4 linked regions of the Coturnix japonica genome follow. The protein of the gene in region 3 interacts with the protein of the main gene of each other region in a pairwise test. Links are inferred from orthologs where the notes say so. Each region holds a gene or a part of one and is shown on either strand. Other genes may lie near its edges.

What was found.
Region 1: the proteins of EXOC5 (region 3) and DEUP1 interact in binary tests that used the Homo sapiens proteins (3 or more experiments, as listed by UniProt). The two-hybrid records come from large-scale screens. The link is inferred for Coturnix japonica from reciprocal best matches to the Homo sapiens genes EXOC5 and DEUP1.
Region 2: the proteins of EXOC5 (region 3) and RAB14 interact in binary tests that used the Homo sapiens proteins (3 or more experiments, as listed by UniProt). The two-hybrid records come from large-scale screens. The link is inferred for Coturnix japonica from reciprocal best matches to the Homo sapiens genes EXOC5 and RAB14.
Region 4: the proteins of EXOC5 (region 3) and TXLNB interact in binary tests that used the Homo sapiens proteins (3 or more experiments, as listed by UniProt). The two-hybrid records come from large-scale screens. The link is inferred for Coturnix japonica from reciprocal best matches to the Homo sapiens genes EXOC5 and TXLNB.

Annotation. Positions count from the first base shown.
Region 1 is NC_029516.1:166,289,350-166,293,896, forward strand, and holds part of DEUP1 (deuterosome assembly protein 1), read right to left. Parts: intron 4,331-4,547; coding exon 4,118-4,330; intron 1-4,117. UniProt on the Homo sapiens protein: Key structural component of the deuterosome, a structure that promotes de novo centriole amplification in multiciliated cells.
Region 2 is NC_029532.1:6,853,255-6,857,131, forward strand, and holds the end of RAB14 (ras-related protein Rab-14), read right to left. Parts: intron 3,225-3,877; coding exon 3,047-3,224; 3' UTR 1,099-3,046; downstream 1-1,098.
Region 3 is NC_029520.1:50,519,108-50,523,654, reverse strand, and holds part of EXOC5 (exocyst complex component 5), read right to left. Parts: intron 4,536-4,547; coding exon 4,507-4,535; intron 4,342-4,506; coding exon 4,232-4,341; intron 3,619-4,231; coding exon 3,574-3,618; intron 3,475-3,573; coding exon 3,334-3,474; intron 2,254-3,333; coding exon 2,171-2,253; intron 1,725-2,170; coding exon 1,515-1,724; intron 1,260-1,514; coding exon 1,224-1,259; intron 370-1,223; coding exon 222-369; intron 1-221. UniProt on the Homo sapiens protein: Component of the exocyst complex involved in the docking of exocytic vesicles with fusion sites on the plasma membrane.
Region 4 is NC_029518.1:48,827,397-48,831,943, reverse strand, and holds part of TXLNB (beta-taxilin), read right to left. Parts: intron 2,723-4,547; 5' UTR 2,629-2,722; intron 960-2,628; 5' UTR 946-959; coding exon 528-945; intron 1-527. UniProt on the Homo sapiens protein: Promotes motor nerve regeneration. May be involved in intracellular vesicle traffic.

The sequences.
Region 1 (4,547 bases), on a different chromosome or scaffold from region 3:
TTTTCACATAATCATGAAAATACGTTTCTTATGGAGTCCACAAATCTTGTCTCTATTTTACCTGTCATTTATGGCTGATAATGTGGCCTCATGCTATGTGTAATATTTGAGATCATAAAATCTGAATTCCTATTGCCATTACCATAAGATACGCTAAAATCACATTAAAGATATCAAATAACAAAAGGAGCAACAATAATCAGATTCTTACAATAGCTTTCTGATTTCCTCTCCTTCAAGATCTAGACAAAAGAAAAGGATTTTCCGTGGATGCTGCTCCTTTGCCTTTAAAATAGTTACATCAAAAACTAGGATTTTTTCATAATTTCTTCTTTTTAATATAATATAGGTTCCATATTTAAAAGCAAAAATGAGACTTCTAAACTTTCAAAAGACTACTTTAAAAATGGAATAAAAAAATGACACTGCAAGCAAGGAACTTCAAAGGTTTATTTCCCTTAGAGCCTCACATTAGAATGACCTTCCTTCCAAGAAGCCTGGGGTTTTCCTCTGGCTGAAAGAACTGCCAAAAACAGACATGAAGCACTTTTGGTTTTTTTTATGGGGTCTGTATATACAGATTCATTCATCAAATCCTGTGTTAAATTAAGCCTGAAAGAGCTTTTTGAACTTGGAAATGCAAGTCTGGGCATATTCTAGTGAACTAAAGTTTAATGAATTTTTAAAATTGTCAGCAGAACTTACTTACAATCATCTTAATGACTTCAACATTCAAGAGATAGCCACAACTAGAACATAATATGTTAATTTGAGGTGTGTGTGTGTACACCTCTGATTTGATTATGCAGTGGAAAAGGGGAACACTTCACAGTTTTGTGGTGGAAGTCAGATCACCTGTGGCGCACTGCACTCACCATGCACGTTTACAGAAATTATATTTCCTTCTGTGGAATGTAGTAATGCCAGGAGTAACAGCAGCCACAGCAGTAGCAGCAATTATGCTTGAAAAAGAACTTCAGGTCAATGGTTTCATGCATCTCGTGTATGTTTGCAACTAAGTTTGCCAAACAGTTCATGAGATTGAGAAATACTCTTGGGTCTCAGTTTGGATCTTCTTAAATTCATATTTGCTTCACAGCCAACAAATCCACCTTCCATACAGTTCGCTTTTCTTTCTAACCAGTAGTATGACAGAAACAGGTGGAAGCATACACAAAGTAGTCACGGCGTACAAGATGTGTGTGACGTAATACCATGCTAATTGCCATGGAAATCAAACTTGTCCCCAGCAAGACTCCCATCTCCTGCTCCTCCCTTCACCCAACCCACGTCCAACTAACCTAGTGCTCCATACAGCACTCATATGCTCACCTGCCTACTCCTTCTGGCTGATGACAGACCCTGCACTTCCTGCTTTCTCATATGGATATCCCCCAAAAATACTTCCTCTAGCTTGAAGATTTTCTTAGACAAGGCTACAGCATGCTGCCATCTACTCTCCCTGCGTTCTACAACACTTACTCCCCCTGTTCCAAATATATTCTAATCCAACTACTATTTGTGGCAACCTTTTCACATCCCCAAAAGCAGGTCTTTTCGCTTGCAGACTGATAAACCTGCATGCAGTCTAGTGACTTAGGGAACTAATGTGCAAATCAAATGTATAAACATCACATACACAGGATTTGGTTGTCCTGGCAATACCTGAAATAAATCTCCACCATATACCTTAATTACCGTGAAGTACATTGTAACTAAAGTTAAATGAAGTTAAGAAAAATAGGTGATCTTTCTCCAGATTAAGTCACTACAGGCCAGTCAATATATTCCTGAATATTGAAGTGCTTAAATTAATAAGCAAAATCATCTTACTGGAGAAAAAAGGAAATGAAAATCTTATTCTTGATCTGTTTCAGTCTTTGCTAATAAAAAAGCTGAAGATATGAGGCAGAAAACTCCCCACTGAAGAAGCAAACTCCCCTGCACTGCACTGGTGGAGCAAGTCCAAGACCAGCTCATGAGACTGAACATGTATAAGTTCATAGAGCCAGACAACATGCATCCCAGGGTCCCGAGAGAGCTGGCTGATGTGGTTGCTGTGAAGCTCTCCATTATATTTGAAGAACCATAGCGGTCAGATAAAGTCCCTGGGAACTGGAAAAAGAGAAATATCACTCCCATTTACAAGGAAGGCAGGAAGGAGGACCTGAGGAACTACAGGCTGGTGAACTTCACCTCTGGGAAGCCTGGGAAGACCATGAACAAATTCTCCTGGAAGACATGTTAAGGCACACAAGGGACAAGCAGGTGACCTGAGACAGCCAACATGATTGCACCAAGGGAAGGTCATCCCAGATCAATCTGCAATCTTCTATGGTGGAGTGATGGCAATGATGAACAAAGGGATGGTGACCAACGTCATCTACCTGGACTTCTGCAAGGCCTTTGACATGGTCTCCCACTACATCCTTCTCTCTAAATTGGAGAGATACGGATTTGAAGGGCAGACTATTTGGTGGACAGGGAGCTGTTTGGAAGGTCGCAGCCAAAGGGTGGTGTTCAATGGCTCTCCGTCCAGGTAGAGGGTAGTAATGAGAAGCGTTCCCCAAAGGACTGTCTTGAGTCTGGTACTCTTTAACATATTTATCACTGATGCAGATGATGGGATGTAGTGCACCCTCAGCAAGTTTGCTGGTCACACCAAGCTGAGTGATGCAGTTCATATAGCAGAAGGAAGGGATGCCACTGAGAGGGACTAAAATAATCTCAAGAAATTGGGACTTTGTGAACCTAGTGAGGTTCAACAAAGCAAATGTTTTGCACCTGGGTTCAAGTAATCCCAGATTAGATTACAGTACACAAACTGTGAGAAAAGCTCCTTGAGAGCAGGCCTACTGAGAAGGACTTGGGGGTCCTGGTTGAGGAAAAACAACCTGAAAGAGCAGTGTGCACCTGTATCCTATAAAGTCAGTGATATCCTGTGTTCCATCAGAAGACGAATGGCTAGCAGGGCAAGGGAAGTGACTGTCCCCCTCTACTCTTGCCCTTGTGAGGCCCCAGCTGGAGTACTGCATCTGAGTCTGGAGCCCCAAAAACAGGAAAGATATGGAACTTTTGGAGAGGGTCTAGAGGAGGGCTACAAAGATATTCCAAGGACTGGAGCACCTCCCCTACAAGGATAGGCTGAATGAACTGGCCTTGTTCAGCCTGGAAAAGAGAAGGCTGTGGGATGACTCATTGCGGCCTTGCTGTATTTGAAGGGAGTTTATAATCATCAGGGAAAACAGCTTTTTACAAGAACAGATTGTGACAGGATGAGGTGGAATGGTTTTAAACTAAAGGAGGGGAGATTTAGGTTAGATGTCAGGAGGAAAATTTTTACTGAGAGAGTGCTGAGGAGCTGGAACAGGTTTCCCAGAAAGGTTATGAATGCTCCATCCTTGGAGGTGTTTATGGACAGGCTGGCCCTGGGCAATCTGATCCAGTACTTGATCTAGTTGTTGTCAACCCTGCATGTGGCAGGGGGTTGGAACTCGATGATCTCTGGAGTCCCTTCCAAATCAAGACATTCTGTGATTCTATGATATCTCAGTCTTGTAAGAATCCATAGATTATGAACAAAGGAAGAGGCCCCAACAGCTGTTTTCATAAAGCAGTTGAAAAATGGTAAGCTAGAGATAGGATAAAATCTTTTGCGTCAATGCTGCCAGCCTAGACATTCATTGCACTGAAGAATATTCATAGAACAATAAACCATACCACACACTTTTATATCTACTTATTTAGTATGTAAAGGGCACTTCATGCAACAAGATGTAAAGCAGATAAAGACATTCAATACAAATAGTTTTTATACAAGGAGCCAAGTGAATTAAGATAACTCACTCTGTGGTGCTACAGGAAGAGGAAAGTTATAAAAATCTAGGTAAATAGACAGAAAAAGATATAACTACTGAATATAAAATGTTTTTCAAGTCTTACTCAAAAATTTGACTGTTCACAGCTCATTCCATGCTTCTGCAAAGAATATCCACACAGTAACTGCACAGATCTTGTATATAGGCATCTTAGAACTACTTTTTAAAGTATAGTCGTATTAAATTAATGCTCCAAAATTTATTCCACAGCATTCATGGAAAACGAAATATATCATTACCTGGAACTGGTTTTGGAACATTTTTAGATCCTCATGGAGTTTCAGATTTTCCTCTTCTAGTCTATTCCTGCTTATTGTCATTTCATTCACTGCTGCCCTTAGCTTTTCAACAATTAACCCATCCATTTCTCTTTCAGTCTGGCCATATTTAACAATCTCTTCCTGGTTTTGTTTCTTATCGCTTATCTGGAATTGACTACTCCAGGTTTGCTTCTACAAAACAATAAAATATTTTTAATGAAATTCAATAATTACATCTAAATTTTTAGGGCCAAACAGTTGAACAGTTGCTACTGAAATGACTAAGCTAATTCCCATTTTATCCATCAGAACTTGCTTAGAAAAGATGGCACTTTTGGAAAGGTTTGTATCACTATTCTGAAGAATATTTCCTTTCCTTAGCTTCAAGTTCATCATGCACAGTGAGAAT
Region 2 (3,877 bases), on a different chromosome or scaffold from region 3:
TACCTCAGTGTTCTGCAGGCCTTTGCTAAAAGGTATTTAGCAGCAATAGCCAATGGCTGTGTACTGTGAAATCTCTGTAGGACTCAGTAAGGGAGCTCTGTGTAGAGATGTTATTTTTAAGAAATACTGATTTAAGGGTCTTTAAAACTACTGCTGTCATTGAAGTGTGGCTATTTCTCAGTTTACATTTTCAAGAGTTGTCACGTTTTTAAATGCACAGATGTTAAATAAAACTATTTTTGAATACTTTCTTAAAGTTGTGACCACAACTTCATCCTTACTTTGTTTTTAATATGCATCCTGTAATGGCCTTGCACTGCTAGCTCTTTAACAGTGCCATCTTAATAGTGGCAACAACTCTTTGTGTACAGTACCATTTGTTACACTGATATCCACACCATAGCAATTACTGGTTGCTGTTGGTAAGCATTGCTGCACTGTCTCTGAAGCCCAACCTGTATCATTATTTCTGATACATGCGAGTATGGCCTTTGCAACAAGATTGCAAACAAAGCAGTGCTCGGTAAATGAAGAGCAGCAGGAAGGCAGAAGGAAAGGGGACATTCTTCCACCATGCAAAGCAGGCTTGTCTCTAAGTACATCCTTACCCCTCCTGCCAGGTGGGACACAAGGACTTTCTAGAGCTGCTTTTGCTGGAGGCAGGTTTCAGAACAGTCCCCAGCCTTGCCCTCTCATCTACATTATCATCACCACCACTGACAGACAGCAATGTTCATGCTCCCCACTTCATGCAGCCTGTTACAGCCTTAGGAAGGCTTCAGGGCAGTGGAAAAGCAACAGCAGCCTGTCACATTTTTTTACCCTAGGGCCCTTTTCAGAAGTTAACACAATCAGTTAAAGCTCAACTGCCACCACATGCAAGATTCCCTTCTAAGCTTCTCTCTTCTACAGCTTTTCCCAGCACTCAAAGCCTGACTGCAGGCAAGCAGAAGTGCCTACAAAGCAGCATTTGCAAGGCAGTGCAATGCAGTAGGTGGAAGATAGCCTAGAAAGGTGGGAGTGAAGAGCTGCAGCTGTAAGTCACAGAAGCAGAGAAGTCACAGCACAAGTAGAGCAAGAAACACAAGGCACTGCAGGTTATCTAGATACAGGTACTTTATTTACAAATATTTAGATTAATAGCATTGTTACATCAAATGAGGAGTACAGCAGTCCAAACAAATCCTTTCTGTGACAGAAACAATAAGGCCTACTGTAACTTACTCTGGGAATACAGGTATTGCACCTCAACAAGCTGTAGTCATTAGAACATTTACTTCCAAACTTCATGGCAGCAGCAGGTCCTGGTCCCTGGGCAAACCCCGCTGTGGTACAACCTTGGTTTAAGCAGGACACATCAGCTGTAGAGCTCAAACATACCCATCTACTAAAGAATACTAGTTAAAAAAAACTAACCAGACAGAACAAAGGGACAGCGCACAAACAAGTTACCCAAATCCTATTGTCTGCACATTCCAGTTTTTTTTTTTTTGGCTTTTATTTAACATTGACTGTACAATACTCTGGTACCACTGTTGACTTACACATCTGAACAGTTCATAGTTTTAGTGTCTGGAGAAGGAATTTCAGACTACTTTGTATCTTAAGCACTGCAGTAAGATTAGAAGTCGGACAGCTGAGTGTGGTTAAACACTTACCCTTTCCTTTTGGAAACTGTATTCAGTGTATTCATAAATGAAGCTATAAGTGACATACAGTTCTGCATACAGTGACACATCCTAGTCCTGACACCACAATAAACCCCACACGTAGGCTGTATACTGTGGGTTTACTGTCTCCCCTTTACAGAAGCAGTACGTGTGCCCTCTCAGGAAGGTGGCACCCTTCAAGAACAAACCTGCCCTAGAAGCCCTCAGCTGTAGTGTTAAAATACAACAGTAGCTACGACTCCCCAGGGAACACAAGTTGTTCCGACTGTCCAGTTCAGTATCTGACCATTCAAAAGGTTAAAGGTATAAAAGCATAAGATGTGCAAGAGAACCAGCCTTGGTATACAGAGCAAGGCAGGTAACGAAGCCCAGTAATGTGAAATGCTTACAGAAGAAAAAAGCAGGTTAGCACACTGCTGATTGCACAGAACAGGATTAATAACATGGCATAGAGATACCACAGTGCAAAGATGAAGGACAGATTCCACTAGTGTTAATTTCGGCACTGGGATTCGAGTTCCCCCAGCACAATGTCCACTGTCAACACCAAGGAGTTAAGCTGCTGTTAGTGAACTGCAGTTACACCTACGTCTGTACTGATGGGCGGTGTGGTCACATACAGGTCATACTGTACAAACTGATATTTTCTTATATACTGTTCTAATGCCAGTAATCATTTTCTTCATTAAAATCATATACACAGGATGTATTTAACTGTTAGCTCAGTTCCTTCAAATTTTATACATATTTACGTTCTGTTAGCAAATGGATAAAAGTGGCAAAAAATGATGTAAAGCTATGAGCACAAGAAGGAATGGTTCGTTTCCCTGTGCAAGTTGTACCCTCCTGCACCAGCCCCCCTGCCCCCAACATGCACAACCATGGGGAATCCTTTCAACAAAGCACATTGGTACGGAGCCCCTCTCTACCATCAGAAGTCATTTCACAGCAAAAAGAGAAAAAAAGAACCCAAAAACTTATCCTTTCCTATGGACAGCTCTACACAGTTAAGAGGTGGGGAAGAAAGGCTGAAGAACCATCAAATTAAACCGTACAAGACAAAGCCCTGCAAAAGTGTAAAATCATGAGTCCAGCATCAGTGCTCAGTTTAAATTATGTATCTGTGACACTATCACAAGGACAATCAAGGAAAAAAAAAAAAATTCTAGATTCACCATGCAGGAGAGGTTTTATTACTCTACTTGCCTTGGATAACCTGATTACATCTAAAGTTGTTTAGCAGTTTAGTACTGTGTTAAACTTGTTTCAGTTTTAATTAAACCCAATAAGATGTACAGAAGACAGGGAAGCAATCAAAAGCACTGCTCCCAACAGACAGAGGTGAAAGGTCAGAAATGAAGCCATGGAAGGGGTCACTAGCAGCCGCAGCCTTCTCTCTGGGGCTGGGGTTCGCTGGTTAGCCGCCCCCCCTGCGGAGCTGATGGTTTGTGCTGTACACCCGACTCTGCAGCGTTCAGATCCAGGCTTCCATCTTGGATGTTCTGGTAGATTTTCTTGGCAGCCTCCAGGAAAGCATCCTCAACATTCTCTCCACTACAAGAAGAGCAGCAGGAGTTAATTAGGTTACACTTCAGCACAGAAACACAGGATGTACAGGCAGTTGGCTGGATGTCCTCACTGCTTGTCTCAAGCAACAGAACTGGTAGTATTTAAAAGCAGACACACCATGAGGCATAACAGCCCCTAACAGCCCATCTGCAGGACAGTTTCTGATATGGTACCTGTCTCCAGCTGTTACATCCATTAGGAGCAGCCCTGAACACCGCTCTGTATCAGAACACTGAACATCAGAAATAAACTACAGCACTGAGCTACGTGTCCAGAACAATTCTGAAAGGCCAAAAGACAGCGGAGCTATTGCTGGTCAAACTCCTGTTGTTAGGAAGGTCTGTTAGAACAGGTGCCAGCTGGAATATTTTGCAGCAGGAGATCGGATCATTTGCATTCTGTCAGGCTCTCCAACCAACAGAGCCAACCAGGAGCACTGCATGGCAGCTCCTTTGTGAGGTCAGGAACTGAGCGCTCCCTACAGAGCTCTATCCCTACAGAGCTTGCTTAGAGCTCGAAACATCTGAGGGAAGTACCTGGGGGAAGTCATGCTCTTGGGAACCACCATCAACTACATGTGCACACCCATCTGAGGCTGAAACAAGCTCTAACTAAAACAAACTGATTTTAGCCCAAGT
Region 3 (4,547 bases):
TACCAAGTAGGTTTAATCCTACCTACTTCTCCCAGAAACAGACAGATAAAATGAAATCCACATTCATACAGAAGAGCCCAACATGACCCTCATTCAGCTAGAAACAGAAGAGTTTTTTAATACACTGAAGTTCTTCCTTTCTTCCAACCAAACTGAACCTCAAGATTTGATTGTATACACAAAATGTTGTCTCTAATAGAGACAGCAGGAAGCGAACTTACTCTGTGACATCTCTCAAAAGCTTGTTTGGTTTCTTGCAAAAGGTTAACCACCACTTCTTGCGAGAGAAAAGTTTCTCCATGGGTGTCAATGCTTGGCCCCAATGGCAAGTTTGTACGTTGCCTTATTCTTTCCTTGAGGTCTTGAATACTAAAACAGAGACACCAAAAGGTTTTGCTGGGTGGAAATTCTGAAGATCACATTCAACAATATCTTACAATATTTCGGTTGTTAACTTACAAAAACAGAACCCAAGACACAGTTTAGGATATGCAAGCGTTAAGACAGTTAAGACAGCTTAAAAAAAAATTGCTAGTAAATGCAAAACAACCACCTCTGATCCCACATTCAGCTGTGTCCTACCATGGCACATTCATACCATGGGAACACCTGTTCCCCCTCTGGGGCGTGTGCTCTGTGGACAAAGTTCAGCCTCCATACGTTGTCACATTTTACTTTCAAAACACTGAGGTCTTCCTCTCTCATCCACAGCCACAAATCCTTTCATCCTCATCCCTATCTGTGCAGTCATGACTTATTCAAGCATGCTCCGACACATTTCCATGCATAAAGCAACCCATAGGGACAGTCATTGCAATCAATTTAATTTTCCCCAAGAAAATTAAATTTTTATCTTTGCTTTTATTCATCTCATGACTTTGCTATAGTTGTTGTTGTTTTCTCCAAATCACTCTTCATGCCTGACACACCGAACCCAGTAACTCTGAGAGGTGTAACAGTCTCATCACCTTTTCCTCACACAAGTTTTCTTTCTTCCTTTCCCACGTCTCCCTACTCCTTTATAGTGTCTCTACCCTGAGGATAATGAAGTCTTGTTTTACCTTTCTCTAAGTCCATTGCATCTTCTGGGCTCACTAAGAGCTTTTTCACTGACATTGCTATGGTCTTTTCCCCTTCCTAGGTCTTGGGAGGGGACCACAAGACCTGGGCAGGTGAAAAAAAATGTATGCTTTTAGATACACACATATACATGCGTTCGGTACCTTAATTTTGCTTCAGTCCTTTTGTGGGTCTGGATCCTAAGTTGAAACATAAGTTTAACTGGTATTTTTCATTTTCCATGAGTATATAAGCACCATGCATCACCCTTCACATGTAAGATTTCAGAGAAAGTTAACAGGAAATGATAGCAAATTATAAAAAGCTGTAGGTCACTTTAGAAGTCTGCTCTTTTGCAGTCCATCACTGTACATTTGGCACGAAAAACACAACATTTCTCCCTTTACCACCTCCCTTCCACTTCAGAAGTAGGAAACTTCATAGGAGAAACTTACCCTCCAGTGCCAATAGACCTCTTCTGGTGGTTTTTGGAATCATAATAACGTTGCAGAATCATCGCGCTCCTACTTTTCAAATAGCCAATTTCCACCTCAATGTAATTCTCCAAGTAGGAAATGAAAATGGATTTGATAAGCTTAGACAAGAAAGTCTGCTTATCGGTACCCAAGTTAAATTCCATCAATTTGCTTGAAAGATTAGTAGTTCTTTATGCAAAACAAAGAAGGGGAGAGGAGGAAAAGGTTGTATTTGTATGAATTACAGCATTATATGCTTGTAAAAGTACATGGTACAACAGAATCCAGATCATGATTAGAACTTCTAGCAGCTTTATACTTAAGTAAAGAACTTTGCATAATTCATGTTTGATTACATATGGCACAATTGCCATCAAGGGAAGGACTGGCTTTCACCCAGTTTAAAAATCACACTCAAAGATCACAATGTTAAATACCTCCCATTCAAAACGATAACAGCTATTTAAAGTTTCTAAAGAAATTTAATCATTGGAAAGTTTGACAGACATTAAATTTTTCCCATTTTTACGAGGAGTTTACTTTTTTGTCTGATATTCCGACATCTTGATGATGATTAATCAATTCATTCCAAGAGGATAACTACAACAATAATTTTATCATCTACATGCATATACCTTGTATACAGATCGTAAAGATTCTTAAGATACTGTTCTGCATCCGATTTCCTGTGTTCTTCCAGTTGGTCCTTCACATAACTCTGTAAAATTTAGGTATATCTGTTAGAAGAATAGATATCAAACCTCAGGTCATCCTCACTTGTTAGATTATACATATAATTTACTTCAAAGCACACACCTTAACCCAAAGGCTGTATGGATTGCTTAAGTCTCTGATACAACAGAATTTCTGTCTTCTACAGATAAATACATTGTTTTGAAGGAAATGATTTATTAATACAAAGTAGCAGCAGGTAAAGCAAACAGCAAAGAGGGATTGCTTTGAAAACATGCTAGTCCAAACACAAGATCCCCACTCTTAAAGAATCAAAACCACTAGAGGCCTAAGGGTAGGTCTACAGTTGACAGCAAGAGAAAGAGGTACTTATATATTTGCTAACTACAATACATACATAATGCAGATACAAGCTTAGAGTCTTCCTGTAATCAACTATTTGGCCAAAAAATATTATTTACCATAAAATACTAAGTCAAAACTGATGGTCAAATTGGGGAATGAAATACAAACTCAGTCTCCCTGCTCCATATTATCAATAATAAGGAAAACAACACTGACTGGGAAATTGCACTTTGCAATGAATAGGCATACTGCTGACTTCACATACTTAAGGGAGTATATTTTCAGGATGGGTAATGGGGTTTTCAACTAATGTTTCTAAATGTTCATATAAATATTCCAAGCATCGGCTATTACACCTTTATTCATTACTAACCTCACACATGAAACCCAATTCCAACTACGAACAGGTTAAAGATGTTTATTAAATGTGAAACTCCTTTTCCTGACATATTCTGGGTAGGTGGCATAAAGAAGAAACCAAAAGCGTATGACATCTCATGAACTAGCTAATGAACGTACTGATTCCCTTTTAATTTTACATACTGAATTTGAATGTTTTCATTCTTGCTGTATTCACAGTACAAGTAGTTTCATTTGAAGTGGGTCTGATTATCTGTATGAAACGCTATACGGCAATCAACTGTAATTCTACCTCTTTATACAGGATTATGAATCCTGTAAATTCTGAGCAACTGTTACTTCAAGCACATATGGATGAAAAGCTTCCTTGATCACTATAGTATACTAATATTTGAAGTACCTGAAGTTTAACTTCAAAGATGTTTTGGATGAGTTTGGCTAGCACAGTCTCCGGATTGCTGAAGACTTCTCCAACTTGCTTATTCACTCGCTGGCAGAGAATGGCTGCATCTTCAAACACATCATTCCTCAGAAACGCACCCTAGGGTTGTGGAAACAATTTCACAGCATATTTACAACTACTTATAGAATAAGGAAATCAACACCCAAAGAGATGCGTGTAAAACATAAAACGCATTACCTCTTGACACTGTTTTATGTACACATCAACACAATGGGAATAGCCCTGTGGAAGGAGGAAAAAAAATAGTCTTAAAACCAGGCTCTCCGTGACTTTTATACAGAACGAAATTAAGGAGATAAAACTCCTGCAAAGAAATTAACACAAGAAATACATTTATCTGAAGCACAGGCTTTTTCCAGTCCATTCTTGTCACAAATCTAGCAGAACTTCACTTATCACAGCTCACCGTGGATGCACATGACAGGTATTAATGCTCTTCAAGCACGAATGACAACTCACACAATTCAAGAAAAATTCCCCTCAGAATGTTCTCTATTGACAATGTCTCTGATTCCCCACCATAGAATCACAGAATGGCCTGGGTTGAAAAGGCCCACAATGATCATCCAATTTTAAACCCCTTCTGCTTGCAGGGTCACCAACCACCAGACCAGGCTGCTCAGAGCCACATCCAGCCTGGCCTCAAATGCCTCCAGGGATGGCATTTGCCTCCTTTATTGACCTACATTTGATTTCAGATGGAACATTTCAGTATTTTTAAAAGATATATGGGTAACAACCATTTGCCTGTGCAAATATTTTCACTTAAAGGATGAGCTGGTGGATTTTTGTTGGGTTTGGGTTTTGTTTAGTTTATTTATTCACTAATTTTTACCTTGAAATGGAGCAAGACAGCTGCTACTTCTCTCATTCTGGATATTTCGCCTCTCCGCTGCGCACTGGTAAACTCCTGAATTAGCTGGCACTCTAAGTCATGGTATTTACCTGGAAGGGAACAGAGGAAAAAAGGTTAAAAAAAAATTAGAAGTAATCCATGAAGCTATCTAATACAAGCACTGGCAAAAATGGTAATACTGACAGTACTGCATATTTCTTTAATCAGCTTTTACGATATATGGGAATATGGATTGAACTGGATGGATAACTTACTTGCTATCTTTGATTTTACTTCAGAAAACCTGTTAACATCA
Region 4 (4,547 bases), on a different chromosome or scaffold from region 3:
TTAGGGGGAGCAAACTTAATGATTTATTGCAGTCTGTGATGAGTCTGCTGAATGAAATATAATGAGATCATAGCAGTGAATTTGTTTTGCAGTTTCCCTCTCGGCCACTCCATGTAGTAACACCACTGGCACAGCTATGACCATTGAGAAATCATAACTGAGGGAGTAGGAAAATAGATGTACAGGGGCATAAACAAGAGATCAGGTGTCCCTTTGTCTAAGAAAAAGTATTCTTCAGTGTTTCTTCAAACTCACAGCTTTGGCCACTAGTTTGGGTGGACCATTAATCTACCAGCCATGTGATAAAATCCTGAGCTTTCATCCCTGTACAAGGATTAATGTCTGATAAAGCCCACTGTATCTTTTAGGTAACTGCTGACAATTTTTATCAAATAAAGTTATGACAGCTGCCGTGGTTTTCAGTGGTCCCTATCAGCCATAGCAAAGACTTAAAAAAGGAAAAAGTGAAGCCCAGGGAGGTTTTACTACTGTTAGCAGAATAGCTATGTAAGTACACAAGCACTTGCCTAGTCCTTTCAGGATTTTCTTCTCCAGCTTTTGTTCCTTGCTAGTGCTGGGCTCCTTTGCTCTTGAAGCATCTCCAGGGGCTGGTTTGTCTTTCTCACTTTCTTCATTTGCATCCTCATACTCTGCATCCTCCATATTGCCCACATCTCCCTTCTCCAGCTTGTCAGTTCCTGCTGTAGTGCCATCCTTCTCCATCAGACTTGCTGCAGACCCATAGGTTTTAATAATGTCCTCCAGTTGCCGGCTCAGCTCCTCTGAGATGTCACATGTGGCTGCTTCAGTCTGGGCACTGGTTTGGTCTGTGGGGGGCAGGGGCTGTGAGCTGGGGACAGGTTCCTCCTTGCTTTGTCCCTGAATGTCTTGCCTAGGTGAAGTGGAAACCTGCTGCTGCTTCTCGGTGAACTGGTCATTCTCCATGCTTGGTGCAGTACCTGACAGCAAAACAACATAGAGTTAATTTAAAAGCAGAGAAATCAGTTTTCTCAGTGATCACAAGGCTTGGCCAGGATGTGAGTGATCTGGTGTGGGATTTGGTGTGGCAGGTCATCCTTTCACTTTGGCTTGATGAATACAACACACTGAAACAAACCAACGAGGTGATTTACCTGTTGGGAGAAAAGTGAATTGTACATCTGCCAAGAGGAAGATAACACTGACAAAGCTTGACCTCTTGTTACTGTTGCAAGTGATAAAGCACAAAAGGGCACCAGAGCCATCCATACTACTTCCTTCTCTGAACACAATTTGCCACTTGCTTGTTTTTCTTGATTAGTTTCACCTGCAATACTGGCTATTGACACAGGCAGCTTTGCTTCAGATTTGCATCACTTTCACTTCCTGTTTCTCACCCATCAGCACATCTTAAGTCAATAATAAGGAAAATGAAGTTTTTAGAAGAAGCTAGAGAACTGAGAATTATGCTCTTGGAGTGCCCAGCATGATGCTTGATATGTGAATGGCCTTGCCTGGCAGTGACATAGTAACAGCAACAAACAGTTCATAATAAGATAAACAACTACAAACCACCTTTCTCTTGTACTTGCAGTGCACTGCTGACAGCTTGTTTGATAAAGTACAAAGCGCTGAATAAATCAGAGCATTGTAAAATCAACCAGGTGTAACACAAATTGATATTCAATGCTAGTATCTGGTTTGAATGTTGCATAATTGGCTCCCCAACTTGCAGTGGAGACTTTGCATTTTTCCAGACACATCCAACCCACAGCCCACAGGCTGCATGCAGCCCGGCACAGCTGGCACTGTGGCCTCCCCCTGCCCCATGCCATCATGGCAGCAGCCCGGCCCCTCAGCACCAACCAAACATGGGAGTGCTATCAGCCCCATGGAGGCACAGGGCAGTGCCAGCTCACAGTGCTGGCAGATACGTTGATGGATTTTGATACGTTGGCTAGACACAGTCCTGTGAACAGAGAAAAATACGCAGTGCTTTTTCTTTTGATAAAGTACAGATGAAGCAAACATGTGGAATTGGCACATTCATCGACACTTGCTGAATGCTGAGCAGTGAGGTGGTGGATGATGTGTTTCAACATTCCTTCTTGTAATTATATGATTCATAATAATGTCAGCCAGGTACTTAGTGGGGACAAGGAACAGGAAGGATATTGCTTTGTCAGATCTAAGGAAGCTGCTTTCTTATTTTTGAAAAGACAACTTGTTTTGAAAATATGGAGCTAAATGAGAAGCATTTTGTTTCCTGTTCAGTTGGCTGTAACATATATTTGCTATGGTGTCTAAGCTTCTGCAGCTTTCAGAGACATAAACAAACTTGGCCAAAGGCAGTGTGTGATAACAGAGTTGTAGTTCATTGTTATACATGACATGGTGTTTGTTGTTAAAATCTCCCCAGTCAAAGTGGTTCTCAGTACTGCAGTAACTGTCACTACTAAGGCTAATACTTTTCAAGATTTGATTGGTGAGATATCTGATCAGACTTATGGATATGGTACTCAAATATTATGTTTCATCATCTCTAAAGCAATTCACTGTAAGACTATATTTGAAAGCTTTGAGTGTGGCTCAAGATGTGCCTAAAAGCTGGTATCTACAGAACCATGGCCCCCTCCAAACACAACTCACCAACAGCAATGACTTGGAAAGACAGCTGGATGCAGTCTCATGGACCCCATCAGGCAGATGCATCTGATTCTTTCCTTTCTACATTTGGCACAGTCTGAAAAGTGATGGTAAACTTATATTGGTCAGATTTGGTGTCCTACTGACTTCAGTTTATCTTGAAAGATTAGGCCTTACATGTACAATTTAGGTAAGCAATTTCAGGTTAGGCAGACGTTTGTGATCTTGTTTTGACTAGCATTAATTGACAGCCAATTAATACCACTTCAGTAATATTACTGCAAATGCTAAGCTAGAAGCTCTGCAAAATATGTTTTTGTTTCTGACATGTTCAGGCTAGTATTTACAATTGTATTCATTAATTTGAGGTAATTGGCAATTGGCAATCAATCAGCTAGAAAATCCAGGATCATCAGCTCTTGTTTAGATAGGAAAAAAATGTTGTGAAATATATCCCCAATTTAAGCCATGTTGTTTTGTAATATGTTCAACACAGAAGGATAATCAGATCACAAATGCTTCACTCTCAAACACGAGTTTCTCTTCTTCCTACCTCCCCTTCTCTGTAAGAAGGCACATGTTGATGCTCCTTCTATCAGGACTCGTAGTGAACCCCTGAAGTCTTGTTGAAGACATGAAGTGGGATGGCTGTGTCCTATGTCAGTTCTTCTCCACTAAGAGCTCTTGTGAAGAGCACTGGAAGCCAGAACCTGGCCCTGCTTTCCCTTGGGAGCTGCTTTTCAGCTGTGGGCATACCAGTAGCCCCCTCGATCACAGCAAGGTCCCAGACGCACCTATGCGCATCTTCAGCCTCTATTCGCTTTGTCCCAGACCTGAATGCATCAGTAGGGCATCCCTGCTTGCCTATGGACCTGCCCTATCACTGCGAAAGTGCTGGTGGGTTTGCAATCTGTATCTATCTCTGAACTCCCCACATACCCAGCCCTGACCCTAACCCATATCATGGCTCCTTGCGGTGAAGTCCCTACTTCCGTCAGCCATGTCATCATGCTGGCTCATGGCTCTCTTCCAAGTCTTAACAGCATCACTCATGAAGCATCACTGTCTGGCTAAGGTTCTTCTCCTAAGTGAATCACTAAGACTGCCTACAAACACAGTAGGTTCTAAATCAGCAGCAATGATTGAGTTATAAACAGTGTTTCTCAGTTAGAAGTGAAACACGTGGGTGAACTGAAGAGAAACTGAATGTTTTGAAAACAAACAAAACAAAAGTTGACCTCACAGGAAATCTTCACTGATATGATCTATATCATTCCTGACTAGAAGGGGATTAGTTATAAGTTTCTGAAACCACAGCAATTCACATGTGCTGAGGTTAAGGCTATCAGCCTGAAATGGTAAGCAAATAGGAACTATAGAAATAACCAGTGACTCCAGAGTTGTCACTTACTATATCATACTGAGGATTGTGTTTACACAGGCAAGCAAACATTTTAGCATTTTCTTTCATTCTCCTTTAGGCTAAATCAGAGATCTGATAACTGCTTTCAGCACAAACACAATGTCTGTTAAGACTTAGCACCTTGTTTTGTGTAATGGATTCCACAGTGTGAGAGAGTTTATATTCAGGAAGACAGAGCAGCTCTCATCTTCTGAAAACAGCCTTTGGCGACGGGAAATTTTACTGCAGTAATTCCCAGTCCTGCTCTTGCTCCAACTTGTTTAACCTTGATATGCATCAGGAGTTCTGTCTTATCTGGCCATAAAAGACTTACAATGCCAATCCAACAAAATCCCAAGTATTTACATTACTGCTGTCTCAGACACAGTAATGTCTAAAAATTAGGTGGCTGATCCCAGAAGAGAAGTTCCTCAGCCCCTTAATTTCCAACAGACTGAGGCAAAGGAGACAGAGCCTGCTTTTTGACTCTGCCTCTTGACTTCTGTGACTCCTACAGCTA